Drosophila melanogaster: one gene and its partners. The protein of the gene in region 1 interacts with the protein of each later gene in a pairwise test. Each region holds a gene or a part of one and is shown in the gene's direction. Other genes may lie near its edges. The genes, in order: fkh, Pex2, PolZ1 and CG4849.

Region 1 (8,265 bases):
AAAAGTAGTAAAGCAAATATTTTCCATAAATAACCATTTGGGGATGCGTTGGGCGCCAACAATTGAAACTAATTAAAAAGTTTGACCATGGCTTAGAGCCGAATACATCCGACTGTATCAAAAAGGCAGCCAATCTGAATCCGAATCGCAATGTAAATCGCCATGTGAATCCGACCTACAGTGGCGCGCTTTTAAAGCAAATAAATAAATAGATAAATGACTAAAGGTAAATAAGTACACATTTTTGGACTGCCTGGCATTACTATTTGCAGAGAGTCTACGCCAAAAAAGCACACATTTGATGCGCTCTGAACAACAAAAATACCTACCAACCCAACGCCCACACGGCAAACATTAATGAGCCAAAGCCACTTGAATTGCCTGTGAAATACAATAAAAATATTAAATATTTAAGCACATTACGGTTATTAGAAGTGCACATAAGGATTTGAGTACATATGTGCTCAGTCACCGAAAGTGTTTGATGTTTAATGATCATCACGATGGGATATAGATATCCGAGTGGCAAGCCAAACAATGTTAAACAGGTTAAATATTATGAATACCATTGTTGAGCGAAAGATTTTTTCCTGATTCAGTTTCGCTTATCTCTCAATCTTATCTAACCCATGGTTATTGTAAACAATTATTCAAACAATTTGAAGATAATCTTGAATATGATAAAAATATTACTCAGTAGTGCTTTTGTGAAGGGGAAACGGCTCTATATGACATAAGTCATTAGTCATTATAATTACTCGGAAATGGGGCGATCATAAAAATGTGATTTCTCCCACAAGCGAAATGTTTCATTACATTTCATTGATAATTTCAAAAATTCAATGTCTCAGCGCCTAGATGAAGGCTACAAAAAAGTGAGAGGAGAAAGAACTGCTGCATTGACAAATGGAAAAGTAATGCGGAAATTCCCCGCTTTTCCTCCCGCTCAGGTAGATCTTAATTGAGCAAAACATTCATTGAGAAACGAGACAATCGTCCTTTTATGACACGCAATAATGAGCCTGGCTCACACACATACACTCTCACGGATTGGCACACACTCGCACACGGACACACACACACAGGCACTCGCAGATACACTTGGCCAAGCGAAAGGGTTAAGCGGAATAGGAAAGGCGTCTATGGTTTATGGCCCGAAATTAGAATGCGTTTTATCCGGGACCATAAACGTGGATAAATTGCCAGGATACCAGGAAGTAGCTGCCAGCACGCGCTATCAATGAACTGTGGATGCTTATGTTTCGGGTATCTTAGGTAGGATGCAGTGGGATGCTCGGATGAGATGCGGCTGATGCTGGCCAGATGCAGAACTGGGTCACTTTCGCAATGACTTGCCAAAAAGGTGAACTGCGCCGCTGTTCTGATGATTTGCTGCTGCCGCTCGCGATGCCTCGCCACGAATGCGAATGGGAATGAATGAGAGTGACATTGGCATACCTTAACCTCAAAAGGGAAAAAGCGGTACGGATACGAAAAAAAACTGGCTGAAAAAACACACACAGATATTATTAAATGTCTTGTTTGGGAGCCAAACCCAGCCAAGCCAAGCCAGGCCAGGCCAGGCCAAAACACTCGGTCTTTTTGTTTCTCTCGAAAAACAGAGCGTCGTCGCATTCTCAGTCTCCCCAGAGATTCGGTCTCCAGAACCCGTCTTAATGGTTTTTTTTCCACATTTTTTCTTTTTATTTTCTGATAGCACGCTACGGCGAGAAGGAGAGCGAGCGATTATTGATCGCATTAGGGAAAATCGTTAACTGTAACATGGCGTCGCTCAGCATTAGGCTAGGCCACTGCGAATGTATCTGCAGCTGTATGCGTATCCGGTATCTCTGCCCGTGTATCTCTGTCCGCACCGCTGAGGGTGTGTGAGTGGAGGGCGTTGCTGACTGCGGCCTGGCCACGCCCCCCCAATGGCCAGTTGCCTGGCAACCGGCCCTGCTCTGTTGATACAAGAGGCCAACCGACCAATGCGCTTGCGCCGCAGCACCACTGTGTACGTAAGAGAACCGCCGCCTGTCATTGGTAACTCCGCCAGGGTGGTGGTGAGACGCACTATACCGCCGGGCCATTGGCGAGAACGAGTCGGAGCTGGTGCTGCCCGGGCGCGTCGCTGCTGCCGCTGCCGCCGCTGTCGACGCCGACGTCGGCCGAGGCACTTGAGCGCGGCTCGAACAATATTTGTTGGCAGCAAGCGCAAGCCAAATAGTAGACAAGCGTTCCCCTCTGCAAACAGTCACATTCAAGAGCTCAAGCCAAAGAGACACTCGAGCGGACCAGCAGCTAAAGCGGCAACGGCAACAGCAGCATCAGCCAAAGCAGCAAAAGCAAAAGCAGCAGCAGCAAAAGCAGCAGCACAGCACAGCACAACTCCCAGCTTCAGACTTCAGTGGCCAACAGCCAGCTAGATATTCACGTTCGTGCGTCGGTGTTTTGTGGCCGCTCGGTGCGGCAGACAACAAAAATCCCCATACAAAAATACAAAGAAAATACAAAAAGAATCGAATCATAACAGAAAATAAATATATATTTTATATGATTATCCCGCACAAATAATTAAACCACGGTGTGTGTTTACAAACAAAGCTTAGAATCAGAATCAGAATCGCAAACGGAATCAGAACCTTCCAGCCAACAAGTGACAAGTGCCGAAGTGCTCTCGATAAAATGCCAGATATATGCAAACCGATTGAAGCAGTGATAGTGCACTGAAATCACAGTTGATATACAATATATCAGAGTAAAGCCACGTTTTAAAGACCTCCTTTTTGATTTTCGTTTTAACTAACGCGTTGCAGAACGCGTTGCCTTTTCCATCGATCCACCAGAGGGCAGCGCCTCCGAAAGCCGGCAACATAACGGCGCAACTATTGAACAGCTTTCTGAAGGGTAGCCCCCACCAGACCACCATTGACATCATGCAGAAGCTCTACGCGGAGCCGCCTCCGAGCAGTGCTCCGGTGAGCATGGCCAGCTCGGGTGGCGGTGGTCCTCCGTCGGGCGGCGGTGGAGGCGGCGGCGGAGGAGGAGGCGGTGGGCCCCCACCGCCCAGCAATAACAACCCGAATCCGACGAGCAACGGCGGCAGCATGAGTCCCCTGGCTCGATCCGCCTACACAATGAACAGCATGGGCCTGCCGGTGGGTGGCATGTCATCGGTTTCCCCTCAGGCGGCGGCCACATTCAGCTCCAGCGTCCTGGACTCGGCGGCGGCGGTCGCCAGCATGAGCGCCAGCATGAGTGCCAGTATGAGCGCCAGCATGAATGCCAGCATGAACGGCAGCATGGGTGCGGCGGCCATGAACTCAATGGGCGGCAACTGCATGACCCCCAGCTCGATGAGCTACGCCAGCATGGGATCACCGCTCGGGAACATGGGTGGCTGCATGGCCATGTCGGCAGCGAGTATGTCGGCGGCGGGATTGAGCGGCACCTATGGCGCCATGCCGCCGGGATCCCGGGAAATGGAGACGGGATCGCCGAATTCCCTAGGCAGATCGCGGGTGGACAAACCAACTACGTACAGAAGGAGCTACACGCATGCCAAGCCGCCATACAGCTACATCTCACTGATCACCATGGCCATTCAGAATAACCCCACCAGAATGTTGACGCTCTCGGAGATCTATCAGTTCATCATGGATCTGTTTCCGTTCTACAGGCAGAATCAGCAGCGCTGGCAGAACTCCATTCGACATTCGCTGAGCTTCAACGATTGCTTCGTAAAGATTCCCAGGACGCCGGACAAGCCAGGAAAGGGATCGTTTTGGACTCTGCATCCGGATTCGGGGAATATGTTCGAGAACGGGTGCTATTTGCGGCGACAGAAGCGTTTCAAGGACGAGAAGAAGGAGGCCATTAGGCAGCTGCACAAGAGTCCGTCGCACAGCAGCCTGGAGGCCACCAGTCCGGGCAAGAAGGATCACGAGGACTCGCACCACATGCACCACCACCACCACAGCCGGCTGGACCATCATCAGCACCACAAGGAGGCGGGCGGAGCATCGATCGCCGGCGTAAATGTCCTGAGTGCAGCGCACAGCAAGGACGCGGAGGCCCTGGCCATGTTGCATGCCAATGCCGAACTGTGCCTCAGCCAGCAGCCGCAGCATGTGCCCACACATCACCACCATCAGCACCACCAGTTGCAGCAGGAGGAGCTGTCGGCGATGATGGCCAATCGGTGCCATCCGTCGCTGATCACCGACTACCACTCGTCGATGCATCCGCTGAAGCAGGAGCCCTCTGGCTACACGCCCTCCAGCCATCCGTTCTCCATCAACCGCCTGCTGCCCACGGAGTCCAAGGCGGACATCAAGATGTACGACATGAGCCAGTACGCCGGCTACAACGCCCTCAGTCCGCTGACCAACTCACACGCTGCCTTAGGCCAGGACTCCTACTACCAGAGTCTTGGCTACCATGCGCCCGCCGGAACCACGAGCTTGTGACATCACCAATACCCGCTGGCTTAAGGACGCGCGGAGCAGATGCTGCGCTCGCAGCAGCAACAGCACTTGCAGCAGCAGCACCAGCAACACCAGCAGCAACAGCAGCAGCACCAGCTGCATCAGCAGCAGCAGCAGATGCAGCAGTCGGCGCAGCAACTGACATCCGCTTCCAATACACCAGCAACATCAGCAAAGGCCAGCGGCAAGGCGGGATCGGCTTCGGCCTCGGGATCTGGGTCAGGATCGGGTTCAGGATCGGGCTCTAACTACTCACAGAAGCTGCAACAGCAGCACCAGCAGCAGCAACAACAGCAGGCGGCGGCGCAGCAGCAACACCACCAGCAGCAGCAACAACTGCTGCAGGAACTGCAGGAGGACTCATCGAACATCACCAGCGATCTGAGCGAGGAGCAACTGCAGCAGCATCAGGCCGCCCAGCAGCAGTTGTACAACAACTATCAGCAGTATGCCGCGGCGGCAGGCTACAGAAATTGGAATCACGGCCTGGCTTTCAATGGAGCCGCCGCTCTGCAGAATCTTCTGTAGCTATAGCTATAGATCCCGATCTCCACAGGCAGCGGCTTTGTAGCGGGCCTGCCAATTAGCGAGTGCAGTGGCGGTGGCTTTTAGCACCTGGCCGCATCCGCATCCGCACTCGCATCCTCATCCTTTGAGCACGTGAGTCTTGGGCCGCAACTCGCACTTGTACATATAGAGATACCTATGAAGAGCCGATCGAGAGCGCTGCCTTTTGTGTTGTTCAGTTCCAGTACTATATATTGTAGATTATATAGATTCTGTTCCGGGGGGTTATTAAATCGACATAGAGCAGGAGGAGGAGGAGCGAAAGAAACCGTGATGTAGTTGTAAGTGCAGCAGAACTTTTGTTAACAATTTTACGTTTTGCTAATACAAATACAAAATAATAATTCCGTGCCATTTGTTTTCGTTGTTTCGAAACAAGCAATAACAATCAAAGCGGTTATAACTGAAAATTTGAAATCACATTTTAAATGTATCCGATTAAGGAGAAGATTGAGGAGAGGAGATGTAAAGAAGGGATCGTGTGTAATGTTCTTTCATAAAACAAAGCCCCAAATGAAACAGTCCCAAAAAGAGAGATACAAATACTAAACCCTTTATCCAAAGGCAATCGCAATCGAATTCGAATCGCAAAAGATCAAAACCAAAAAGAAATCTAAAACCGAAATCATCATATTGAGCAGTCCAGCAAAACCCTAAGAATCTTCAACTATCTAAGCAACAAAATCTGGCCATGCATAAGAAAACGACACGTTTTAACTGAATAATTTAACAAATTTCCATTTATATATACGCGCATCGATATACGCCCATGTATCGCAAAATCCCGCATTTCATTTACATTATGTGTCTTCTGTTGTTGTACGAATTCGTTAGATTAAGGCATTTTGTAAATAATCTATAAATAGATACATTTAAGCAACCCCCTCCCCAAGAAACCCAATTTAACTAAGGACCCATTGCAAGCAACCAATTTTTAACTAACTCGAGAATTAATCAAATTGTATGAAATTATGCCACACCACTTGAAAGTAAACATAGTATAAATATAAATACTGTATAGCATTTAACGTTTAATTAGCATAAATAATGAAAGCAAAAAACAAAAATGAAAAAAAATCACATAAAAAGCGAAACTGCAATTATTATTCAATAATTTTTAATATTAGTTATATTGTGCGTAATGAAAAATAAAAAACCAATTGCAAACACAAAACAAAGACCCATTTTTACATTGAGCTAAGCTAATTAATTAAACTTGATAAAAAATAGTCTAAATATAAACACCCACACACACACACACATACTGACACTGACAGACACAGAAACAAATGAAAATTATTGTAAAATACACAATATAAAATTCAATAAATGTCAACGCAAGAATTAAAATCCAACTCTAAAGCTAGTAAAATTAATATTATTATAAATCATGCAAAACAAACACAACGTCAACGACAACCAAAATCGACTATTTTAATGTTTGAAATACAAGAAAAAGGAAAAAAAGTACCATAAATTAGTTTTCATTTCCCAACCTTTGTTGACTCAAGCAACTGACCTCCAACAATCATTTATATATTGATTGGGCCGCCCGGATGGCTGACTATCTCCATCGACGCTATCGACGCTATCAATGCAGCGAATTCGAATTGAACGACCGATAGCTGAGCTGAGTAGTTCCAGGAGTCGCTATCTTATCGCCGTCACTCAGATGCAGAGTGCAGTTTTCCACCACTACCATGCCACGATAAACCCTTATCGCCGTGCACTCATAAATTGCAACGGAACAAGAAGGTAAACAAACAACCAGGATGGGACATGGGACCCATCCCAGCCCATCCCATACCGTCCTATACCGACCCATTCCCGCCCGGACTTGACACACTGACTAACCCATCTCAGTCCAGCACAACCCAGCCCGATCCCTCTGGCCAAAAAGAGCGGGAAGGGTAGTGGATATCTTCTGCCCGACTTGACTCGACTCCCCTCTGTTTGCTTTCTAGTAATATTCATGGAGCACTACGAGCCGAGTTCGAGCACCTTCCCTATCGCTGCAATGGACCTTATCGCTGCAATATAACCCAACAGAGCCTGATCCGACGCAGTTCCCCCTGGCGAACTACTACCACCTTTTGATTAAAATCGGTGTGATTCATTTGGAAGAATCTACGATCCAGGTCCTACGATTCTCGGACATTCCGAAGACATTAAAATTATTGCTTATCTAGAGCTCGGGCATGAGCGTGTTTGACGAGCAGTTGTCGCTTTTAATTAAGCGAGAAGGTCACCATTTTCTATATGTCCATACGACACATTTTATTTATATGTATGTACATGTGTGCCTGTGGGGGCGACTGGACTGGCTTTAATACATTTTTTATAGCCTCCAAGCCGACTGGAGATGTTCCATAAAGAGTTCGCTTTGTTGTTTAGCTAGGGTCGTGCCGTCGACGGTATTGGATTGTATTGGACTGAAAATGGGTACGGCGGATAGGGGATAGGGGATTGGGGACTGTGGGATTGGGGACTGTGGGATTGGGGGACCTGGCGTATGGGCGACTTGGTCTGGGTCTCGGTCTCCAGCAAAAGCGACAACAAAATGGCGCTTCGTTTGTTGTCGCTTCAATTTCGATTTTTCCTTGACATTGTGACTGTCAGCGTTCTGGCGGAGTTTCTTCATTTTACCCCGGCTGGCAAACAACCCCATCTGGGCTGGCTTAGGAAATCTGTGTTTTGGGGTTGGTTTGGCTAAACTGACAACCACCCAATGGTCCCACCACCCAACCACCCACTCGGACCCCCACCGAGCCCGTCCACAATTTATATATCGATGCCTTAATGCCAGACATGCGCGCTAAAGACGCTCCAGAGTTTGTTGAGCTCTCTAGACAAGGCGGCCCGGCTATATTCCATATCTATATCTACATATATATCTATCTCTATATCTATATCTATTCATAAATGCCAGACCACAGACTGCCACCGCTGTAGCCATCAATTTGCAATTATTTTTGCCGTAGACCGATTTAAAATTCTATTTCCACCAACAAGTTAAGCTGCACTCTCTCTTTCACAAAATTGACAAAACAAAGGCATTTCGGAAAATCGACAAATATGAAAAATTTGTCATGACATTTGTCGGGTCATTAAAAATGTATGATTGCCACAGTTCCGCGGAAGTCATCGAATAATGTCTGGGAACCCCCTTTTTTTATATTATGTGCACGCCTCTATTCGATAAAATGTATTA
Region 2 (5,370 bases), on another chromosome or scaffold:
AACCACCGCTGCCAGCCGATTCACTTTCTTCCTAACCATATAAAAGCGGCGCATTTTGGTTGCAACCACATTATTCAGTGGTGAAAAGTCGTTGCGTGCAGTCAACCAGTGATCTCCAAATAAATCGCGAGCTAAAACTCAAACTAAAATGGCATTCAAGGTGAGCAGCAGCAGCCAAGGATAAAGGATAACGATTGTGAACAACAAACTATACAGCAAAAAAATATCCTAAAGGATACAGCAAAACGATCTGAGGATCGAGTGATATTTAAGAAACCAAGTGATTTGGTGGTGAACGAAGTGGAAAAGGTGTTCCAAATCTCCAGCAATCATTAAAAGGATATTCATATTAAAAATGTGATTTTTAATTTCAATATGCAATGATTTTTAATGGAAACAAATTTTATTAAACATCGGAACAATAGGATACTGTACTATTTACTATACTAAAGAAAAATTATAAATGTAGAGAATGACAGACTAGGAGCTCAAAGAAAGGCGCTTTTAGTAAAATATTCGTCAGGACCACTAAATTTCAGTTTAAAAATCATCCTGACAAAATTTCACTAAATCAATTTAGCTATTTTGTGCTAATTAAAAAACCAATTTAAAGACAACCTCAAAAACCACAGTTCAAACAAAAGCACCTATTAAAGTAAATCGTTTTAGGATTTAGGAAAAAACTCACACTTTTGCTTTAGTTAAATAAACCTCCCGCTTAGTTAACCAACAAATTTGCAGTCAGCCAGTAAACCACAAAGTAACCACTAAAAGTATATCCAAACAAAAGCGTCAGTCGACCACAGCAAACACTTGATTATGAATTCATTAAGACCAGCAAGAGGAAAAAGTCCGAAATTGCAAAGCAGCCATAACATGGATAGCTACTGTCTGTGGCCAGCAAGTCCTCCAACGCTAATTGCAGCACTTGCAACTACACACACTCCGTCAACGGAAACAATTAGTTGCTAATTATGCACCCACCTATCTGATCTTGCAGTATCTGATCTTCGCCTCGGCTCTGTGCCTGAGCCTCGCCTATCCGTTGGAGCACCAGTACTACGAGGAGAGCCATGGATATGAGCACCTGGCCCATCACGAACCGGAGCCCATCCATGAGTATGGCCACCATCAAATCGAACGCATCTCACTGGGCGAGGAGCACGGTCACCTCGAACACGCTGAGCCCCACTACGAGACCCACGAGTCTCACGGACATGATGAACATGTGGATTACTATGTGAGTATTGTTTCTGAAATTCAAAATTACACTATAAACTATAATCAAAGAGATGATGATGATGAAATGTTGTTTCTTAACAGGCTCCTCCCAAATATGCTTTCAAGTACGGCGTGAATGACTTCCACACCGGAGATGTGAAGTCGCAGCACGAGACCCGCGATGGTGACACCGTCAAGGGACAGTACTCCCTGGTGGAGCCCGATGGTTCCATCCGCACCGTGGACTACACCGCCGACAAGCACAATGGATTCAACGCCGTGGTCCACAAGACCGCTCCAGTGCATCATCATGAGGAGCTGCACGAACACCACTACTAAGCTAGTACACACTGCGCACTAGAGTTAGCCAAATTGCTCATCAGCCGGAAGTGGGAGGAGGATTATGAGGACTAGGAGGAGGGACAAGCATATCCACATCGGTCGACCATGGAATCAGCTTCATATCTCGTAATTAGGACATCAGCACACACCCAGGCCAAGGATCACATCCTGTCCATGGCCATTTCATTAACATTTTGTATATTGTATTTTATTCTGTGATAGCGAATAACTTCTATGTGTATCTTCCGCTTTCAACTGATCCTTAGTCACTACCTGCTCAGACGAATTTACCGATCACTACTCGACTGTTTGCCTTAATCTTTAATCTATAATCTATAATCTGTAAACTGTAATGTATACTTATGTCTTCTCGTAAAACAGAGATCGAACGAAGAAATTGTAAATTGTGTAATAAAGTGTGAATTATGTACTTTTTATAAAATCAAAACTCACCCGACCACTGGCCATAATTTTTTCAGCCGGGGCCAATCATTGAACTTGCACTCCTCAAACAAATGACCAAATGTCTCAGCTGACCAACTGGTTTATGCGTTTCCAGACGTAAACGGCAATGGGCAAGATTTCCACAAATTACCAGACATCGTTAGACACATTTTCCGGATCCCAAACGAGTTCTTCAGTTCATTGTGGTTTCTTGTATTTGTTTTCATTGAAATTGCATAAGCCTTAATTGAAATGTTGACGGAAAATGCTTCCTAAATGGTTAAAAGACTTGGAGTTTCTTCGAAATGTCGATGTAATTGATATATAAGCTGATTTCAATTAGCAATAAATAAAAAATCAAACCGCATTGCTAGTATGGCTAGTTTAAATTTGGCGGGGTTTGTCGATATAGTTTACCAGCACTGTTTAAAAATGTCGATAATGACTAGTAAACTTTCTTTACAATTGCCATCTCTAATTGATAAGAAAGGGCAGAGTACATATAAATAAGAAATATATCAATGGTCAGCTAACCAAAGGCAAGAATATAAACAAAATAATGGAGAAAAACAAATATGTACCACGTGTAAATCAGGTGAGCTAATTATGGTGAGCTATTCATGAATTAAAACCACTAAAATTATACATGTTTACCTTTTAGATAGATGCCATCTATTTGAACAAGGACATTGCCCGCCTGATACGCGATAATCTGCTGGAGAACTTGCAAGCCATCTCAGTGAGTATATGAACACTACCATAATTGGCCAATATATACTGTATATCTCTCACAGCCCGTTTTGTTCATCAAAATCCAACCGGAGCTCGACTTGATCATTCAATCCGCAATTTGGTTTGGTTCCGTCGGCAAGCGGTGCTCCACTTTTGGCCAACAGCTACTGGTTCTGGCTTACGATGCCGAAAAGCTGACCGTTTCCAGGCTGGTGCTCCATTTCATCCTGACCGTCTTGCCGGGCTACGTGAAGAGCTGGGAGGAGCGACGCTTAACAAGGCGCGTAGAATGGTTTAGCGAGGCGATTATGTGGGTGGAGAACAGTGCCCTGATACTGAACATCCTCAATTACTTTCGGTTCCTGAAGACAGGACGAAAACCCACTTTGGTGGACTACTTATTGGGATTGGACTACATTAGTCTGCGGAACAATCAAAGGAGAGACATTGGCTACAAGTACCTAACGAGGGAGCTGCTGTGGGGAGGATTTATGGTGCGTGTTAGTTAGTTTGCTTATTATACATATATATTACAGTGTATATTATAGGAAATCCTCGGACTGGTGTTGCCCATCATCAATTTCCGTAAGCTACAAAGAGTGCTAAAATCATGGACATTTTCCGGACGACGGTTAGAGGATAGAGATGGTCCGGCTTTCCTGGCGCCGCAGATGACACTAAGCACCACCTGCACATTCTGTGGAGAGCGACCCACATTGCCCCACCACATGGGCTGTGGTCATATTTATTGCTATTACTGCCTTAATGCAAATGTTTTAACGGATGCCAGTTTCTGCTGCCCCAACTGCGGTTCTGCGTGTCCTGAGTCGGGAATCCAAAGTGTCTGATAAATAGGAATATAGTGCATGTGATGGTTTTATATGTCTTTTATTAGTTTTAAGCGAAAAGTGGGCTGTAAGTAATAAACAAATCATTTTCATATTCCGCCAAATGTGTGTACTTTTAGTGTTAGCAAGCAGAGTAGTGTTGGTAGTCGTACAAAAACAGCTATTATTTACTTGCCCAGTGCCAGGAGTCGTGCGATATAAACTACATAAAAAGTGTATAATTAAACGAAAATAAAAAGCAAAAACTGTTTAGGGCGAAGTATAAAGCCTTGCGGATCCAAAGTTAACTGCTGATTTTCCAAGAACAACAGTTAAGATCAAAAAGTAAGTTCTAAATCCCTATCTTTGGTAAATAAAAAGCGCGCGAAAATATGGGAACAGCTGTTGCATTCTCAACCAGCGTTGCCAAATGTGGCAAATAAATTAAGCAATTATATGAACTCAACTGTTAAGTAGCTCTAACCGTATTTAAGCCACTAGATTAGATAGATAGACTAAGAACATGATTAATATTCATATTTTTTGGGTGGCAAAGCCACACCCAATTTGTTTTGCAATTTCGCGAATCAGCTGCCTGCGGCGATGTGGCAACGCCATTACTTTGTTATTATCTCATTTTTCTGCTGCGCATTTCGTCTTTGTCCGAATTTTTTTGAAGAAAACAATACAATTAATCGCTTCACCAAGAACACGACAAGTAGTTGGAAACCCACGAATTAAACAATTTTTTTGGAGTTGCGTAATTGCATAAAAATAAATAAAGGCATAACCAGCGAAAATAAGAAAACGAGAGCAAACAATTGAAAACAGAAAGTGCTGAAATAATAACAAATACACTTGGCCATCAATTGCGTATATATATAATTGTTTAAATATATTCGCAACGCGAACTGATTTCACATATCAAGGTCAGTAAGTTGACGACTCGCAGCAACAACAATAACAAACCAAGATCCCTTAAAAACCCCCAGGTGAAAATGCTAGATCTGGAGATCGTGCCGGAGATTTCCCTGGGCTGCGATGCCTGGGAATTTGTGCTGGGCATGCACTTCTCGCAGGCTATCGCCATCATCCAGTCGCAGGTGGGCATCATCAAGGGAGTCCAGGTGCTGTACTCGGATACCACTCCCCTGGGCGTGGACATCATTATCAACCTGCCACAGGATGGCGTTCGCTTGATCTTTGATCCCGTCAGTCAGCGTTTGAAGACCATCGAGGTTTTCAACATGAAACTGGTGAAGCTGCGGTATTTCGGCGTATACTTCAATTCCCCGGAGGTGCTGCCGAGTATCGAGCAAATCGAGCACTCCTTTGGAGCCACACATCCTGGGGTTTACGATGCAGCCAAACAATTGTTTGCTCTACACTTTCGCGGGCTGAGTTTCTACTTTCCGGTGGACAGCAAGCTGCACTCGGGCTACGCCCATGGACTGAGTTCTCTGGTTTTCCTGAATGGCGCCTCACCCGTCGTGTCCAAGATGTCTCTCTACGCAGGCAGCAATGTGTTGGAGAACAGGGTACCATCTCTTCCCTTGTCCTGCTATCACCGCCAGATGTATTTGGAATCGGCCACTGTTCTCCGAACCGCCTTTGGTCACACGAAGGGTCTGAAGCTGAAGCTCTTTACTGAGGGTTCAGGAAGGGCTTTGGAGCCACGCCGTCAGTGCTTTACGCGAGAGCTGCTCTTCGGCGATAGCTGCGAGGATGTGGCCACCAGTCTTGGAGCACCCAATCGTATATTCTTCAAGAGCGAGGACAAAATGAAGATACACAGCTCGAGTGT
Region 3 (9,730 bases), on another chromosome or scaffold:
GTACATACATACATATGGTATGTACATAAATAGAAACATCGTTCCTTTGGGATTGGGATGACTCTCCCAGGCGAAGCACAGATACTTATTTGTGTATTCACTGCATATCTCAGCAAGTCCGCCCGATATAACCTTCACACGCCCTTGGGCTTACACAAGCAACGTTCTTCATTCGATGCACAAGTTTTATTTTTCAAATAGCTGGCATTTAAATACAGTAACAGGGCGATACTTTATTCAACAACAATAAATATGTAGCTTTGCGTAATTATGGCTATTTTGTGCATTTGAAAAAAAAGCATCCTCAATTGCGCCCCTTGCGGATTATGCAACAGTGATTCCCGACCAGCTGCTGGGCGCCGGGTTTGTACGATAGTTTTGGCTAGTTTAGTCCTTGCTCTGCATATACTTGATCAGGTCGATGACGCGGTTGGAGTAACCGAACTCGTTGTCGTACCACGAGATTAGCTTGACGAACTTATCGTTCAGCGAAATGCCAGCCTTGGCGTCGAACACAGACGAATGGGTGTCGCTGAAGAAGTCGGTGGAGACCACCTCCTCATCGGTGTAGCCCAGGATTCCCTTCAGGGGTCCCTTGGAGGCCTCCTCGACCTTAGCCTTGATTTCGTCATAGGTGGCTCCCTTGCCCAAGCGGACGGTAAGATCCACAACGGAGACATTGGGCGTGGGCACGCGGAAAGCCATGCCGGTCAGCTTGCCGTTCAGGGCGGGGATGACCTTGCCCACAGCCTTGGCGGCTCCGGTGGCGGCCGGGATGATGTTCTGGGCGGCGCCACGTCCATCGCGCCACAGTTTGCCAGAGGGACCGTCGACGGTCTTCTGGGTGGCAGTGGTGGCGTGCACGGTGGTCATCAGACCCTCGACGATCTCGAAGTTGTCATTGATGACCTTGGCCAGGGGAGCCAGGCAGTTGGTGGTGCACGAGGCGTTGGAGACCACCTTCATGTCGGGGCTGTAGGCGTCCAGGTTAACGCCGCACACGAACATGGGCGCATCGGCGGATGGGGCCGAGATGATGACCTTCTTGGCGCCGCCCTTCAAGTGGGTGGACGCCTTGTCAATGGTGGTGAACACTCCGGTGGACTCCACCACATACTCGGCTCCAGCACTGGCCCAGTTGATGTTGGCCGGGTCGCGCTCGCTGAACACGGTGATCTTCTGGCCGTTCACCACCAGGAATCCGCCCTCAGCCGCAACGGTGCCCTTGAAACGACCGTGAGTCGAGTCGAATTTAAACAGGTAAACCATGTAGTTGACATCGATGAAGGGATCGTTGACGGCCACCACGGAGGCGCCCTTATCGATGGCGGCGCGGAGCACCAAGCGGCCGATGCGGCCAAATCCGTTAATTCCGATCTTCGACATGGCTGAGTTCCTGCTGTCTTTTCACTTTTACTCTCGTTCAGTTTCAGTTCGCTATTACGACTGCCGCTTTTTCCTTTTCCCGGAGCTTTTTTCGCAAATTAGGAGAATGGCGCTGCGATGGCGGGGGAGGGTTGATGAGTATTTCGCTAGCTTTCTGCGTAGGTCACACTTAAATAAAGCTAATGTGAAATAAATCGATTAGAATTCCATTTAAAACTTTAATTTTTACAAAGGGTTTGATTATATAAGCGCCTTAAAAAGAGCCTCTAACAACTAATGATATATATGGGTTGTAGGACCCTTTACGTAATTAAGTTTATACAAAAATTAGCATTGTCAAGTATAAAATTCCTTCATCTTGCACTAAAGTTTTTCTTAACATTGTTGCCAAGTTAGTTCTTTAAGTTCTAGAGCTCTTCTTTCAATTTAAAAATATTTATTTTACGTTTTTGCCCTTAGTTTGAATTCAAAAAGCAACAATCGATAGATCGATACTTTTCGATACATGGTCACTCTAGTTTGAATTGAATTGACAACAAATAGCTCTGCGAAAACGAATCTGAGTTTTGGCGAAAATGGCAGCCGCAGGAGAGGCAATCGATGGAGTCTACTCCGTCCGGCTGGTCATCGCGGATTTCTATATGGAGAAGCCGCAGTTCGGAATGGATCCGTGCTATTCGGAGCTGCGCGGCAAAGAAATCAAGCGGGTGAGCCGGTCTATTTCACCACAGTAAAAACTGGTATAACGATCCATTCCACTTCCAGGTGCCAGTGATTCGAGTGTTTGGCGGCAACTCCAGAGGCCAGAAGACCTGCATGCATGTACACGGAGTTTTCCCCTATCTATACATTCCGTATGACAAGAAGGATTTTGAGTCCCTGGAGCGGGGCATCCTGCAGATGGCCATGCACCTGGACAAGGCCATCAACATATCCTTGGGTCAAGGCAGCTCCAACGCCCAGCATGTGTTCAAAATTCAGCTGGTCAAGGGCATGTGAGTTCTTTCTGGACGACTTCTTGGCGTAAATCTCTAACCGACCTCTCTTTACAGACCCTTCTATGGCTACCATCGAGTGGAACACCAGTTCCTCAAGATCTACATGTTCAATCCCCGGTTCGTACGCCGCGCCGCCAACCTTCTCCAAAGCGGCGCCATTCTGAGCAAGAACTTCAGTCCGCACGAGTCGCATGTGCCCTACATTCTGCAGTTTATGATCGACTACAATCTGTACGGTATGAGCTATGTGCATGTCCCGCTGGAGGTTCTCAAGTTCCGGCGCAACCATGACGATGACGGCAAGCTGGATACATCATCTATTTAAGTTCCTAACTAACCCGTAACTAACCCTTTAGTAATCCCCTATGCAAATGTCAAGCAAGCGCAGCTTCTGGACATCACAACCGCTAAGAAAGTGGCCTGCAGTGCTTTAGAGGTGGATGTCAGCTCGAACTTCATACTGAATCGGTTCCAGCTGGTGGCGAAGAGTAAGAGCAACCACACTAACCCCGGCATCGAGGCCATCTGGAATGATGAGAAATTGCGCCGACAGAAACTTGTCGAGAAGCACACCGATGCTGGCGATGAGGAGAAGGCTGAAGCGGTAATCCGGGAATACATCTTGTATTGATAAATCCTACAGCCTTGTCCATCCATCGTAGGTGCCAGTATTGGAGTTACCGCCAACACAGGAGCGGCATCAAATTGAAATCGCCGAAAGCGATATCTTCTACCGCACCGCTCTGGAGAGCAAGCTGATGACACTGGAGCAGTCCACACTGTCCGAGCAAACGTTGTCGGATCAGACAATCCTTCCCCAAGCAACCATGCAGACCACCATGCCCGGCACAAAGGCACAGAAACGCAGGTTTAACTTGCAAAAACTTCTAGCCAACGCCGTTTATCCGGAGGAATGCTCACAGGATCAGCAGCAACTGCTGGTTAATGCTTCCTTCATACAAAACCATGTTACCTGCGGCTACAGCAGCAGTGTCAGTTTGTCAACCTCCAAGGATGAGTCCGATGACTTGGACGAAACTGTAGTGGATGAGGAACTAATACTGAGCCTCACACAGCCTCATGGAGCGATACCCCATGATGCCACCTGTGAGTACACGGTTGCCAAAATTACAACTCGCACTTTGGTATAAACCAGTTGTTTTCTCCTTGCTTCAGTGAGGGAGGAGGATTTGGAACTTTTGGACGCGTTGCAGCTGTTGGAGGAGCAGAATGAAAGTGAATCGCATGTGGACTTAGACAGTTCGTTGGCTCCATTGTCGCAACATAAAAAGTGTGAGTTGTTGTGAAATGGAGTTGTTTTTTAATAAATGTTTTACACTGATCTCTTTTTGTAGTCGAACTTACACCCGAATTGTTGGACAAGGAGACCGCAGCTACTGCTGCTCTTTTCGACGAAGATGTTGACTCCGACGAGGATGCCGACCAAGAAACCCGACATGACTTCTCTACCGTCCTAGACGATGTCGATGAGTTGTTGCTTAAGTTAACACAAAGTCAGCCTGCGGAATCGAAGGAACTGAAAGCATCTAGTAAACTGCCCCAAATTGATGGTGCTGATGATCGCCTACAAAGGACCCCCATTAAATCGATCAGCTCTAAGTCAAAGTCAAGTCCTTCAAAGACTCCAACAACGCCAATAGGTCAGAAAAGTCTTCCCAAATCGCCACGTACTCCGAAAACCAGTGCAGCCAAGAAATATGCGCCGCTGGCTTTGACAATTGGAAGCAGTTCATCAAAGAGTGGGTAGAATTGATAACGATCACACGAATTTTTTTTGCAATCATAACCAATTGCAGAAAGCAACGATGAATTCGCAGGGAGACCATCTAATCCACGCCTCAGTTTGCAGCTAGACCAAGGAACCGGAACGGGAACACTTCGGTAATCAAATTCTTTGTTTTCATCATATGTACCAACATTTCTATGACCAACATTTTTGTTCGTAGGCCAGAAATCTCATTGCGCAAAAAACTAGCCATGTCGGAGATGCGACGGAAAAGTTTCGAGGACAGTTTTGTGCTCTTAAAGAACGAGTATGGTTAACTGATATCCTTTATGGCAAGGCGATTTATATTATTGTTTTCCCGATAGTTGTACTCCAGTTAGGAGTACCAGACGATCAACTAGCAATCTGGACAAAACACACATTATTTGTTCCCTTACGCCGAGGGACAGAAATCCTGGCTTGAGCGACATGTTCGAAACAGAGGACGGCAAGCAATTACCACCAAAGAAAGTAGTAAGAAAGACGCGATGGAGCACTCGGAATCAAGATATAGAAAGTCTACCCAAGGCCGGTTGTGAGATAGAGAGACCCCACAGGTCAGAAGGAAGTGCCTTGGATGAGCTGAAGCCGCGTCGCAGTGCTCGCCATAAGGTTAATTCGGCAAATCCAGATGAGTGTTCCAGCGAAATACAAACAACTGGGCCACGAGTGACGACTACAAGTTTGGATAGACCTCAAAAGAAAGCCAGACTATCCCAAAGTCCCAAAGAAAATACTAAAACAAGCATGAATGGAACTGTTGCATTGGAAAAAGCAACAAAAGATAGTTCATCTAACTCAGAGAGTCCGCATCAGCAGGAAAACTCTGTTTCTGAACAAATCGAATATCTCGAAAGTAAACCAAAAAAGTCTGATGAAACTGCACGAAGCTGTGACGAAAAGTTACAACGTGAGCTAATTCCACAGGAACCAGCTGGTATTTCGCCTGGAGATTCAGCAAACTCCACGGAGGAGATCACATTTAGTCCATGCCATGATGAGGCTATCGAATCCGACACGGAAAGCGATTATATAGTCACCAAACTTCGTAAAACACCCAACTTGAAACGCCTTCGATGGAGCATTCGGTCGGAGTTGCTGAACAAACAATTTACTCCCAGTTCAGGCATAAGACCCCCTGAGACTGAGACCACTCCTCAGCTAAGTCCCAAAAGCAATGAGAGCAACACACCGGAGCTGATGCGAAGTTTCTATGAGCATTCGCTGATTGTGAACAGTCCGTCGGTCTTCAGTGACTTCTTGGATAGCCCCGAGATACATATGGATTCTCCTAGGTCTGCTCCTCCATCTCCCGATAGCAACTCGTTCGTGATTGCCCCCTTGGAGCTGCCTCCATCCTACGATGAAGTGGTTAGCGGTAGCCGTAAAATGGACATACCCGAGTACGAGTTCCAAAAGCCATACTACAGCAATCCCTCCGATGTGAGCAAGGTGACGGAGGTGGGCTTCCTGGTGCTCCACATTCCGGGGAACAAGCTAAATGACTGTGATCCCTTCCAGAGCATACTGGGCAATGATCGTGGCCTGGCCTCCTGGCGTCGTCGGCAACTGATAGCCATTGGTGGCCTGGCAATGTTGCAGCGACATCGGGGAGAACAAAAAGTACGGGAGTATTTCAGCACGCAACAAAGAATAGCAATCGAGCCAGCACAACTAGCACCCACCTGGCAGGAAGCCAAGATCTGGTTGAAAGCCAAGGAACTCCTTCGTCAACGAGAGGAACCAAAAAAGTCCTCTGATGACATAGACAGCCCCATCAAGATCAAGCGGCAGAAGATCACTATGATGCTGCAGGCTGAGGAAGGCGATGGCGGAAGTGGCGATGAAGATGCTGGTGAGGAACTCGATTGCAGTCTAAGTCTAACGCCCTTGTCCCAAGCTAAGGATAAATGCAAGGCAACCCCTACCAGTAGCAAAGCCAGAGAAACAGGAAAGAGTCGCCTTAAGCGCGGAACTAGGCTCAGCTTCATAGGAAGCCAGGACGAGGAACCACCAAGCTCGCAGTCCAGCGAACAGAGCGTCTCCAGTAGTGCGGCCCAGGCGGAGCTAGATCGTAGTTCCTTTCTGCGCCAGTTAGAGGGCAGTAGCCAGGATAGGCAGCACGACCTCAGCTTTGGACTTAGCCACGCTACCTTGGACAACACGTTCGGGTTCAAGGTTAATTTGGAGAATCTGCAGCAGGCCAAAGCCGACATTGATTGCAACCACCTGACAATCATAACGTTAGAGGTGTTTGTGTCCACGCGAGGTGATCTCCAACCAGATCCGATGCACGACGAGATTCGGTGTTTGTTTTATGCTATCGAACACAGTTTGCCGGATGAAAAGCTGCCTAGCAAAGCCTGCGGCTATATAATGGTGAACACTGTCCAGGATTTGCTAAGTGAAGGACCTTTTCATGGTATAGATCGCGATATTGAGGTGCAAGTAGTGACCAGTGAAGCGGAGGCATTTGAGGCGTTGCTGGCTTTGTGTGAACGGTGGGATGCGGACATATACGCAGGGTACGAAATCGAGATGTCCTCTTGGGGCTATGTGATTGATCGGGCCAAGCATCTGTGCTTCAACATCGCTCCTCTGCTGTCCCGAGTGCCCACACAGAAGGTCCGGGACTTTGTGGACGAGGATCGGGAGCAGTTCACCGATTTGGATGTGGAAATGAAGCTCTGCGGCCGCATTCTGCTGGACGTATGGCGCCTGATGCGCTCCGAGATTGCACTGACGTCGTACACCTTCGAAAACGTAATGTACCACATTTTGCATAAGAGATGTCCCTGGCACACTGCCAAATCCCTCACCGAATGGTTCGGCTCACCCTGCACCCGCTGGATAGTAATGGAATATTACTTGGAGCGTGTGCGTGGCACCTTAACTCTCCTGGATCAGCTGGACTTACTGGGACGGACTAGCGAAATGGCCAAGCTCATTGGCATTCAGTTCTACGAGGTGCTGTCGCGCGGCTCACAGTTTCGCGTGGAAAGCATGATGCTGAGGTGAGTGTAACCCTTGAGCGCAGGCAAAATATGTTGCATCCTCCCTGAACTCTCTGTCTTCATAGAATCGCCAAGCCAAAGAACCTGGTGCCACTTTCACCCAGCGTCCAGGCTCGCGCTCATATGAGAGCTCCCGAGTACTTGGCGCTAATAATGGAACCGCAGTCACGATTCTATGCCGATCCCCTAATCGTGCTTGATTTTCAGAGCTTGTACCCCAGCATGATCATCGCCTACAACTACTGCTTCTCCACGTGCTTGGGTAGAGTAGAGCACCTGGGTGGAAGTTCGCCCTTTGAATTTGGCGCGTCGCAGCTCCGAGTTTCGCGGCAGATGCTGCAGAAGTTGCTGGAGCACGATCTGGTTACTGTTTCGCCATGCGGCGTTGTGTTCGTGAAGCGTGAAGTGCGCGAGGGCATCCTGCCGCGCATGCTCACCGAGATCTTGGACACGCGCCAAATGGTCAAACAGTCGATGAAGCTCCATAAGGACAGCTCTGCACTTCAGCGGATCCTTCACTCACGGCAGCTGGGCCTTAAGCTGATGGCCAATGTTACCTATGGCTACACCGCCGCTAACTTCAGTGGCCGAATGCCTTCAGTGGAAGTGGGCGATTCTGTAGTTTCCAAAGGACGGGAGACCCTGGAGCGTGCTATCAAACTAGTGGAGAACAACGAGGAGTGGAAGGTGCGTGTCGTCTATGGCGACACGGACTCCATGTTCGTTCTTGTGCCGGGTCGAAATCGAGCTGAAGCTTTTCGAATCGGCGAGGAGATCGCCAAGGCGGTCACCGAAATGAATCCACAGCCAGTGAAGCTAAAACTGGAGAAGGTCTACCAACCTTGCATGCTGCAGACCAAGAAGCGCTACGTGGGTTACATGTATGAGACAGCCGATCAGGAGCAGCCCGTTTACGAGGCGAAGGGAATAGAAACTGTGCGGCGAGATGGTTGTCCGGCGGTGGCCAAGATGCTGGAAAAGGTGCTGCGCATATTGTTCGAGACGCAAGACGTCAGCAAGATCAAGGCGTACGTGTGCCGGCAGTTCACCAAGCTGCTGTCGGGCAGGGCCAATCTGCAGGACCTGATTTTCGCCAAGGAGTTCAGGGGTCTCAATGGCTACAAGCCCACGGCTTGTGTGCCAGCACTGGAGCTCACGCGGTAAGCTACGAGACATTCCTTCTTTGCCATTCCTGAATTGTATTATGACCATTTTCGTTTTCAGTAAATGGATGCAAAAAGACCCACGACATGTGCCGCGTCGTGGCGAACGCGTCCCCTTCATAATAGTCAACGGCCCGCCGGGCATGCAGCTAATCCGCCTGGTGCGCAGCCCGCACGACATCCTGGCCAACGAGGGTCACAAGATAAACGCCATCTACTACATTACCAAGGCGATTATTCCGCCGCTGAATCGCTGCCTGCTGCTCATAGGCGCCAATGTGCACGACTGGTTTGCCAGTCTGCCGAGGAAGTTGCTCATGACGCCGGCCGTTGGAACCGCCAACGAATTGGCGGGTGCACGCGGTGCCAAGTCCACCATCTCCCAGTATTTCTCTACCACCAGCTGCGTGATCGACTGTGGCCGCCAAACCAAGGCGGGCATTTGCCCAGACTGCCTGAAAAACGCCACCACGTGCGTAGTTGTGCTCTCAGATAAGACAGCGCGTCTGGAGAGGGGCTACCAACTAACTCGGCAGATATGCCAGGCTTGTTGCGGACGCCTGGGTAGCCTACAGTGTGATTCCCTCGACTGCCCAGTGCTGTATGTCTTGGAGGGAAAGCGAAGGGAACTCCAGCAAATCGAGCACTGGAACAAACTCCTTGAACACCACTTCTAATGCCAATCAATACTCGTATGCAGGTTGGATTTCTCATTCATAAGAGATGTATATGTATTTTAACTTGCAGCTCGCTTATAAAAGTTAAAATTACATGCATTGATTCAGCCAGTGCTTCTAAACATGTACGTAGCTTATACTCTACTTATGCATTGGGTGATTTTGTTGTGTGTAATACTAGAGGAATTGTTAACTATTGATATTGTTTAGGTTTATCGTGTTATGATTGTTATATGAGCTGAGCATGGAGCCAATAAACAAGCGTTTTAATGTTTACTTAAAACTTGTAGTTTGCTAACTTGTAAGACATCATTGTTGTGTGTTCTTCAATGAGAATGAATATGAAATTATCGATCTATAATAATAGGTTTCTTTTTCAGTTCAGCGTAGGATTTCATCTTGCGTTTTAACAATTTCAATGTTTAACCGAATTACATAACACTTAGTATTTGATGTAATGAACATTTTGATTTCTGATTTAGCCCTGATTCGTGTTGCCTAAATACAATTTTGTGTATTTCCAATTGAGCAATTCGCCTCGATATAAAAGGAATTACAGTATAAATATTAAAAAAAAAAAAACGTTGCGTTAGTTAACATTTATGTAGTAGCATTTAAAAACCTTGAAAACATGCCACTAAATCACTCAAAAAATATGAATATATTTATGGTTTAAATAACATCCTAATCATCCATTTCAAACATC
Region 4 (7,566 bases), 620 kb from region 1:
GAGTCACCGTGAAAGTTTTAAATTTTCTAAGACGCCACCGGCAAATTTTGAATGAAAGTATTGATATATATATTTATTTTAGGAAAAACCATGGATTCCGATTTGTACGATGAGTTTGGCAACTATATTGGCCCCGATTTAGACAGCGACGAGGAAGATGAGCAAAGTATTTATGGGCAACCCGATGTGCAGGATGACCCAGAGGTATAAACGTGCAAAAAATAAAATAAAACTTATAATTAATTTATGGTGTTTCATTTAAAGGACGCCATGGACGAGGACGAGGTGGAGCCACAGGAGGACGAGGACAAGGAGGTGACCGCCGTGGTTTTGCACGAGGACAAACGCTACTATCCGTCAGCAGTTGAGGTCTACGGCCCGGATGTGGAGACCATTGTCCAGGAGGAGGACGCCCAGCCGCTGGACAAGCCGCTTATAGAGCCAGTGAAGAAGCTCAAGTTCCAGATCAAGGAGCACGTGGGCATCTTGACAGATGCACTGGTGGCCATTAGACGGACGAGGTGAGTTGGTCGCAGGCTCAAGGAAACCAATAGGCAGGAGAAACGCCGCGAGTTTATGGCGCGTAGGGAGCTCTCCAGGCCGAGATGTATTCCGTATCGAGTGGCAAACGATTTGGTCTGCCCGTCGCTGCTTTTAATTGCATTCTGAAGGATCTGACGGAACTGCTGCACTTCCTCCTCCGATAAAAGAGGGCTAAAGTCAAAAGAAACAACCTGTTGATTGGGTTTTTATTGGTTTCTGCCCGCCTCACCTGTGCTGTTTGTAAGGATTGGCTAGAATATTGCGCAGTTTGGGCAGCAATTTCTTTTTGCCCTTAGCTTCTTTCTGTTTTATGCTGGACAAACTCATGTTTACGATATAAACTAATAAAAAATAAAAAATTTCTGCTGAAAAATCAAACAACAATGTGTTTGGCTTTTGGCCAGTGTGACCGCGTTTCTTAGTTTAAAATAAGCCATAGCTTAAATCGCGTTGCCAATTGCTTTACGTTTTTATTTAAATTAAAACTCTTAATTTTTGCTTCTAAAAATTTTTAATCAAACTCTTAATTTTTATTTGCAATCATTTTCAGTACCAGTAAAGTTCCGGCTCCGTGTCCGAAGAGTACTTCAATTTTCTCGGTCTCTGGCGAACGTAATCTTCGACGAAATTCAATTGCCTTGGTGTTGTGGTTTCTACTTGAGTTTCTACTATTTCCGTTGTTGTTAAATTAAATCCAAATGGTGTTGATAATGTAGAACTTTCCTCTTCGGTGCTGTCAATCACTGCATCCAGATACGACGTGGTAGTTTCCACGCCCGGAGTCGTGGCAATGATTTCCAGCAAGGATGTAGTAGATTCCTGGGTTTCTGTGGTTGAAAACAATTCTTCTGTTGAAGTTTCTGCTGTTTCAGTTGTAGTTTGATCTGTGGATAATGCAAACGTGGATTCGTTCGGTTCTGTGGTAGAATCAGCAGATTCAGTCGTTGATTCCGGCAATTCTGTAGTGCTTGGATTGATTTCTATTTCTGTGGTAGTTTTTATTAGTTCTTTCTCTGAAAATTCAGAACTTAAAGTAGTCGTTGATTCCGGAAATTCCGTAGTACTTGGCATAAACTCTGTTGTTGTTGATTCCTGCAATCCTGTAGAGCTCTGAATGGTTTCTGTAGTAGTTTCTTGCCATCCTGTAGATAAATCTGGATAAATTAACGTTGATTCAGCATATTCAGTACTGTCTGAATTGCTTTCTGTCGTTGAATCTGCAGCTTCTGGACTCGAAGTTGTTGTGGAATATAGGGCTACTGATTCAGTGGCATCTATAGCATCTGTGCTGGTGACTTCCGGCCAAGCTGTTGTCGTGGAATATAAAGTATCCGTGGTTGAAGTTACATAACTAGATTCGGTGGTTGAATAATCCACCGCCGTAGTTGTAGATTCCTCAGTGGCACTTTTCTCCGTTGTAGTAGATACTTCCCCAGTGAAGTAGCCAGTAGTCTCCTGCGGATTGGTGGCCACCGTAGTTGTGTCCCAAAAATCTCCATCGAACGGATTGGTAAAATTTACGATGCGCGGCTTGTAGGGTGTGTAGATTTTGGCTTTGTAAGGCTTGTGGTTCTTGATGTATTCCTTGGCTATGCTAATCCACTCCTCGCGACCGAGAATATCGTTTAAATTTCGGCTTGAGGCCACAAAATGCGCCATTAAAAGAAGCAAACAGAATTTTCTCATTATGATGCTGATACCTTCGGTTGACACTTTCGACTAATTACCTTTGGCGACTGCAGTGCAATATAAACGCAAGGGTCTACCTACGTTTCAACGCGTATTTTAGCTACCTGCTTTCTTGGCAAAAACGTTAATTAGCCCTAATGAACTGGAAAATTCAAATGTTGCCGCCAGGGCTGCAAGCGCTTACTTTATTTGTGCTGGCAATGCCGTAGGTAATGCCGGCCGCTTAACAGCTGAGTGTTTTTCGGGGAAGAAGAAGAACAGCGTGTTTGCAGTCCGCGTTTTTGTGTAAAAATTGTGAATAATTATATTATTTGCAGTTTTCTTACGTTTTAAAGAAGAATTTAGCAATCAGAAGGTCCTGTAACAATTGGTAAGTCGGTAAAAACAACAAAAAACAAGAGTAGCATAAGTTTCGAGTCACCGTGAAAGTTTTAAATTTTCTAAGACGCCACCGGCAAATTTTGAATGAAAGTATTGATATATATATTTATTTTAGGAAAAACCATGGATTCCGATTTGTACGATGAGTTTGGCAACTATATTGGCCCCGATTTAGACAGCGACGAGGAAGATGAGCAAAGTATTTATGGGCAACCCGATGTGCAGGATGACCCAGAGGTATAAACGTGCAAAAAATAAAATAAAACTTATAATTAATTTATGGTGTTTCATTTAAAGGACGCCATGGACGAGGACGAGGTGGAGCCACAGGAGGACGAGGACAAGGAGGTGACCGCCGTGGTTTTGCACGAGGACAAACGCTACTATCCGTCAGCAGTTGAGGTCTACGGCCCGGATGTGGAGACCATTGTCCAGGAGGAGGACGCCCAGCCGCTGGACAAGCCGCTTATAGAGCCAGTGAAGAAGCTCAAGTTCCAGATCAAGGAGCAAGACATGCAGGAGACCACCTACGACATGGAGTTCATGGCCGATCTCATGGACACTCCGCCGCTTATTCGCAACGTGGCTTTGGTTGGCCACCTGCACCACGGCAAGACCACCTTTGTCGACTGCCTCATCCGGCAGACGCATCCGCAATTTGAGACCATGGAGGAGCGCCAGTTGCGCTACACGGACACCCTGTTCACGGAACAGGAACGCGGCTGCAGCATCAAGGCCACGCCGGTCACACTTGTCCTGCAGGATGTCAAACAGAAGAGCTACTTGCTGAACATCTTCGACACCCCGGGGCATGTCAACTTCTCGGACGAGGCCACCGCCGCCATGCGAATGAGCGATGGTGTCGTGCTGTTCATCGATGCCGCCGAGGGCGTCATGCTCAACACGGAGCGACTGCTCAAGCACGCGGTGCAAGAGCGCCAGGCTATCACCGTTTGCATAAACAAGGTGAGGGTTTGGCCTTAAGGTGACACTAAACTTTCTAATGGTTTCCTCTGACGTGCAGATTGATCGCCTCATCCTGGAGCTGAAATTGCCGCCCCAGGACGCCTACTTTAAGTTGAAACACATTGTGGAGGAAGTCAATGGGCTGCTGAGGTGATTACGTGATTCATACTCAACACTAATGATTTTACTAATGTGTAATTTTCTTACAGCACCTATGGCGCTCCAGATGACAATCTCTTAGTTTCGCCTATTTTGGGCAACGTGTGCTTCGCCAGCTCGTTGTACGGATTTTGTTTCACTCTGAAATCCTTTGCCAAGCTGTATGCAGACACCTATGAGGGAGTGGCTTACCTGGACTTTGCCAAGCGGCTCTGGGGTGACATGTACTTCAACAGTAAAACGTAAGTGCTGCCTAAATATCCAAATCATTTGCTAATACCAACTATTTTAATAGGCGCAAGTTCTCGAAGAAGCAGCCGCACAATTCGGCACAGCGCAGCTTTGTGGAGTTCATTTTGGAGCCCATGTACAAGCTGATAGCCCAGGTGGTTGGCGATGTGGACACCACTTTGTCGGACACTCTGGCCGAGCTGAATGTGCGCGTCTCCAAGGAGGAGATGAAGTCCAATATAAGACCACTGCTGCGTCTCGTCTGTAACCGCTTCATGGGCGACTGCAGCGGTTTTGTGGATATGTGCGTGGAGCACATTAAATCCCCTTTGGAAAATGCCAAGCGAAAGGTGGACCATATATACACTGGACCCAAAGAGGGTGACATTTACCGGGATATGATATCATGCAACCAATACGGCACTCTGATGGTGCACAGTTCCAAGATGTATCCCAACGACGACTGTACCTTCTTCCAAGTGCTGGCGAGGATTGTCTCTGGTACTCTACACGCTGGCCAGGAGGTGCGTGTCCTGGGAGAGAACTACACCTTGCAGGATGAGGAGGACTCTCGCATTCTGCAAGTCGGTCGTCTGTGGGTATTTGAGTCTCGTTACAAGGTGGAGTTAAATCGTGTACCCGCCGGAAATTGGGTGCTCATCGAAGGCATCGATCAGTGTATCGTTAAGACCTCCACAATTGTGGATATTAATGTTCCAGAAGACCTCTACATATTCCGACCACTGAAGTTCAACACCCAGAGCATTATCAAGATTGCTGTGGAGCCAGTGAATCCATCCGAGCTTCCCAAGATGTTGGATGGCCTCCGCAAGGTGAATAAATCCTATCCACTTCTCTCCACTCGAGTTGAAGAATCCGGCGAGCATGTTATTCTGGGCACTGGCGAGCTGTACTTGGATTGTGTCATGCACGATCTGCGGAAGATGTACTCCGAGATCGACATCAAAGTGGCGGATCCCGTCGTGGCTTTTTGCGAAACAGTTGTGGAAACGAGTTCCCTGAAATGTTTCGCCGAAACGCCGAATAAGAAAAACAAAATAACCATGATCTCGGAGCCACTGGAGAAGGGACTGGCCGAGGACATTGAGAACGGAACCGTCTGCATAAACTGGAACAAAAAGCGCATCGGCGAGTTCTTCCAAGTCAACTACGATTGGGATCTGCTTGCGGCGCGTTCCATTTGGGCCTTCGGTCCCGACTCCACGGGTCCAAATATCCTGGTCGACGACACCCTGCCCTCGGAAGTGGACAAGAACCTGCTGACCGCGGTTAAGGATTCGATTGTGCAGGGCTTCCAATGGGGAACGCGAGAAGGGCCGCTGTGCGAGGAGCCAATCCGTAATGTCAAGTTTAAGATTCTCGATGGCGTCATCGCCAACGAGGCGTTGCATCGAGGCGGTGGACAGATCATTCCAACAGCCCGTCGTGTGGCATACTCGGCGTTTTTGATGGCCACCCCACGTTTAATGGAACCATATCTATTTGTGGAGGTTCAGGCGCCGGCAGATTGTGTATCCGCTGTCTATACTGTGCTGGCCAGGCGCAGGTAAGTTTTGCTGCTCATGTTTCCGTAAGAGAATGCCTCTAAATTTTATATAATCTATTTTGCAGAGGCCACGTAACGCAGGATGCTCCCGTATCGGGTTCTCCCATATATACGATCAAAGCCTTCATACCCGCCATTGATTCATTTGGATTTGAGACGGATCTCCGCACGCACACCCAGGGCCAGGCCTTCTGCCTTTCGGTGTTCCATCACTGGCAGATAGTGCCTGGCGATCCCCTGGACAAGAGCATCATAATCCGGCCACTGGAGCCGCAGCAAGCATCCCATTTGGCCAGAGAGTTTATGATCAAGACGCGTCGCAGGAAGGGTCTGTCCGAGGACGTGTCCATCAACAAATTCTTCGACGATCCTATGTTGCTGGAGTTGGCACGCCAGGATGTGCTGATCAACTACCCGCTTTAGACTTCCCACAAATCAGGAATCGGGAAAACAAATAAAACATTTAGACATACTTTCCGAATTTCAATTGCGAACTTTAAAGGGAGTAGTGTTTTTTTTTACTATATTTACTAAATATTTATTTGAAGCCTTTTCGGGACAAATAATTTACAAAATAGTATACAGAAAACAGCTACAGTTGTGATAGTTTCTAGGACTTTACTCGCCATTGCCGTTCTGCAGGACCTCCGACTCGTAGCCTTCCTGCTCGGCCTGCTCGTCATCGAACTCCACTTCGTCGTCGGCGGTAGCCTCCTAAAGGAGGAAACCAATGGAAATCGTTTTTAGAGATACTTTGCAAGGATATGGAGGGATCGCTAACCTGGTACTGTTGGTACTCGGATATCAGATCGTTCATGTTGCTCTCGGCCTCGGTGAACTCCATCTCGTCCATGCCCTCGCCGGTGTACCAGTGCAAGAAGGCCTTGCGCCGGAACATGGCAGTGAACTGCTCGGAGATGCGCTTAAAGATCTCCTGGATGGCGGTCGAGTTGCCAATGAAGGTGGCGGACATCTTGAGCCCACGGGGCGGGATGTCGCAGACGGCCACCTTGACGTTGTTGGGAATCCATTCGACAAAGTAGCTGCTGTTCTTGCTCTGCACGTTGTACATCTGCGTGTCCACCTCCTTCATGGACATGGGTCCTGTTAATTATTGAGAGAGCGTTGAAACAAAATTGCCTTCGTACAATCTTCCTGTGCGCATTTAAACATTTACATCAAAAGACAAGTTCGCTTTGATGCGCCGGCGGAATCCCCAAATCCCTGAATATGAAATACTAAATGGCTTCCAAGTTCTGCCTGCGCACCTGGCCGGGCACCTGCACTGGGATCTCAGCTCGGAGCTTGGGAATGGAAACAGTGAAAAAGTCCCAGGAGGTAACTAAAAAAGTTGTTTAAATTCCTGCTCGCTGGCATTTTTTCCGCACATTTTTGTGATTAATTATTTTGCAAGTATTTCTGGCAGTCGGTCGGAGACGATAACGAATCCTGAGATGGTGACGCCGGATCTGGGCTGAACCTGGGCTAAGCTTGAGTGCGGGTGCGCTGGAACGCAGTGCAGGCCAAGTCACGTTCGGCATGATTAGTTGGGCCTGGGGGCCGTGTCAGGCGGCGGTCGCAATTCCCCAATGGATCTTGAAAGTAAATTTCTAATTACGCGCGTTTTGCGAGTCATCAGTCAAAAGCAAAGGGGCCAAAGCGGCGCGAGCGCACACAAGGAATAGCAAATGAAATATTATGCGGCACACTTTTGGGCGCCGCATCGCAGTTTATTAATTTAGGAATTAGCGCGAAAAAAAAAAAATGCGAAGCAACCTTTTCGGTGGGCGTGGCGAGGGCGGCATGCCACGATGCCATGGCTAACAAATTTGCGCTACGTGCGCGTTGACGGATTGCAGCCTTTTTAGCCGCCAGCCAGCGGGCATTAATCATTTTTAGTGGCGCCCATAAGTAGTAGGCCCAGTGCTCGGCTTTCGCTAATAAAATCGTCGCCAAAGCCAAGCCCCAGGAGTCCAAGGTGTTGGCCAGGGGCGGCTGTGTCGTTCTATTCTAAGGGGGTGTCCTGCAGA

The links.
Region 2: the proteins of fkh (region 1) and Pex2 interact in a two-hybrid assay, tested with the Drosophila melanogaster proteins (one large-scale study listed by BioGRID).
Region 3: the proteins of fkh (region 1) and PolZ1 interact in a two-hybrid assay, tested with the Drosophila melanogaster proteins (one large-scale study listed by BioGRID).
Region 4: the proteins of fkh (region 1) and CG4849 interact in a two-hybrid assay, tested with the Drosophila melanogaster proteins (one large-scale study listed by BioGRID).

The regions. Positions count from the first base shown.
Region 1 is NT_033777.3:28,579,225-28,587,489, reverse strand, and holds fkh (fork head), read left to right. Parts: upstream 1-2,225; 5' UTR 2,226-2,936; coding exon 2,937-4,469; coding exon of another isoform or gene 4,470-5,015; 3' UTR 5,016-6,514; downstream 6,515-8,265. UniProt on the Drosophila melanogaster protein: Fkh promotes terminal as opposed to segmental development. In the absence of fkh, this developmental switch does not occur. The nuclear localization of the fkh protein suggest that fkh regulates the transcription of other, subordinate, genes.
Region 2 is NT_037436.4:8,336,589-8,341,958, forward strand, and holds Pex2 (peroxin 2), read left to right. Parts: upstream 1-2,462; 5' UTR 2,463-2,566; coding exon 2,567-2,602; intron 2,603-2,668; coding exon 2,669-2,746; intron 2,747-2,801; coding exon 2,802-3,233; intron 3,234-3,287; coding exon 3,288-3,587; 3' UTR 3,588-3,688; downstream 3,689-5,370. Other genes in the region: Cpr66Cb (cuticular protein 66Cb), read left to right, coding at 149-160, 1,001-1,240, 1,324-1,560; CG7083 (uncharacterized protein), read left to right, coding at 4,565-5,370.
Region 3 is NT_033778.4:7,791,735-7,801,464, forward strand, and holds PolZ1 (DNA polymerase zeta subunit 1), read left to right. Parts: upstream 1-1,890; 5' UTR 1,891-1,961; coding exon 1,962-2,093; intron 2,094-2,151; coding exon 2,152-2,381; intron 2,382-2,438; coding exon 2,439-2,683; intron 2,684-2,740; coding exon 2,741-2,988; intron 2,989-3,046; coding exon 3,047-3,491; intron 3,492-3,560; coding exon 3,561-3,677; intron 3,678-3,739; coding exon 3,740-4,144; intron 4,145-4,201; coding exon 4,202-4,286; intron 4,287-4,351; coding exon 4,352-4,438; intron 4,439-4,496; coding exon 4,497-7,184; intron 7,185-7,249; coding exon 7,250-8,344; intron 8,345-8,408; coding exon 8,409-9,024; 3' UTR 9,025-9,310; downstream 9,311-9,730. Other genes in the region: Gapdh1 (glyceraldehyde 3 phosphate dehydrogenase 1), read right to left, coding at 388-1,386; Nop17l (Nop17 like), read right to left, coding at 9,709-9,730. UniProt on the Drosophila melanogaster protein: As the catalytic subunit of the DNA polymerase zeta complex, plays a crucial role in translesion DNA synthesis (TLS) and various DNA repair mechanisms. Lacks an intrinsic 3'-5' exonuclease activity and thus has no proofreading function.
Region 4 is NT_033777.3:27,960,952-27,968,517, forward strand, and holds CG4849 (uncharacterized protein), read left to right. Parts: upstream 1-2,463; 5' UTR 2,464-2,602; intron 2,603-2,728; 5' UTR 2,729-2,736; coding exon 2,737-2,850; intron 2,851-2,910; coding exon 2,911-3,579; intron 3,580-3,637; coding exon 3,638-3,729; intron 3,730-3,788; coding exon 3,789-3,980; intron 3,981-4,033; coding exon 4,034-5,536; intron 5,537-5,601; coding exon 5,602-5,959; 3' UTR 5,960-6,007; downstream 6,008-7,566. Other genes in the region: CG31131 (uncharacterized protein), read right to left, coding at 1,090-2,229; betaTub97EF (beta-Tubulin at 97EF), read right to left, coding at 6,155-6,250, 6,318-6,640.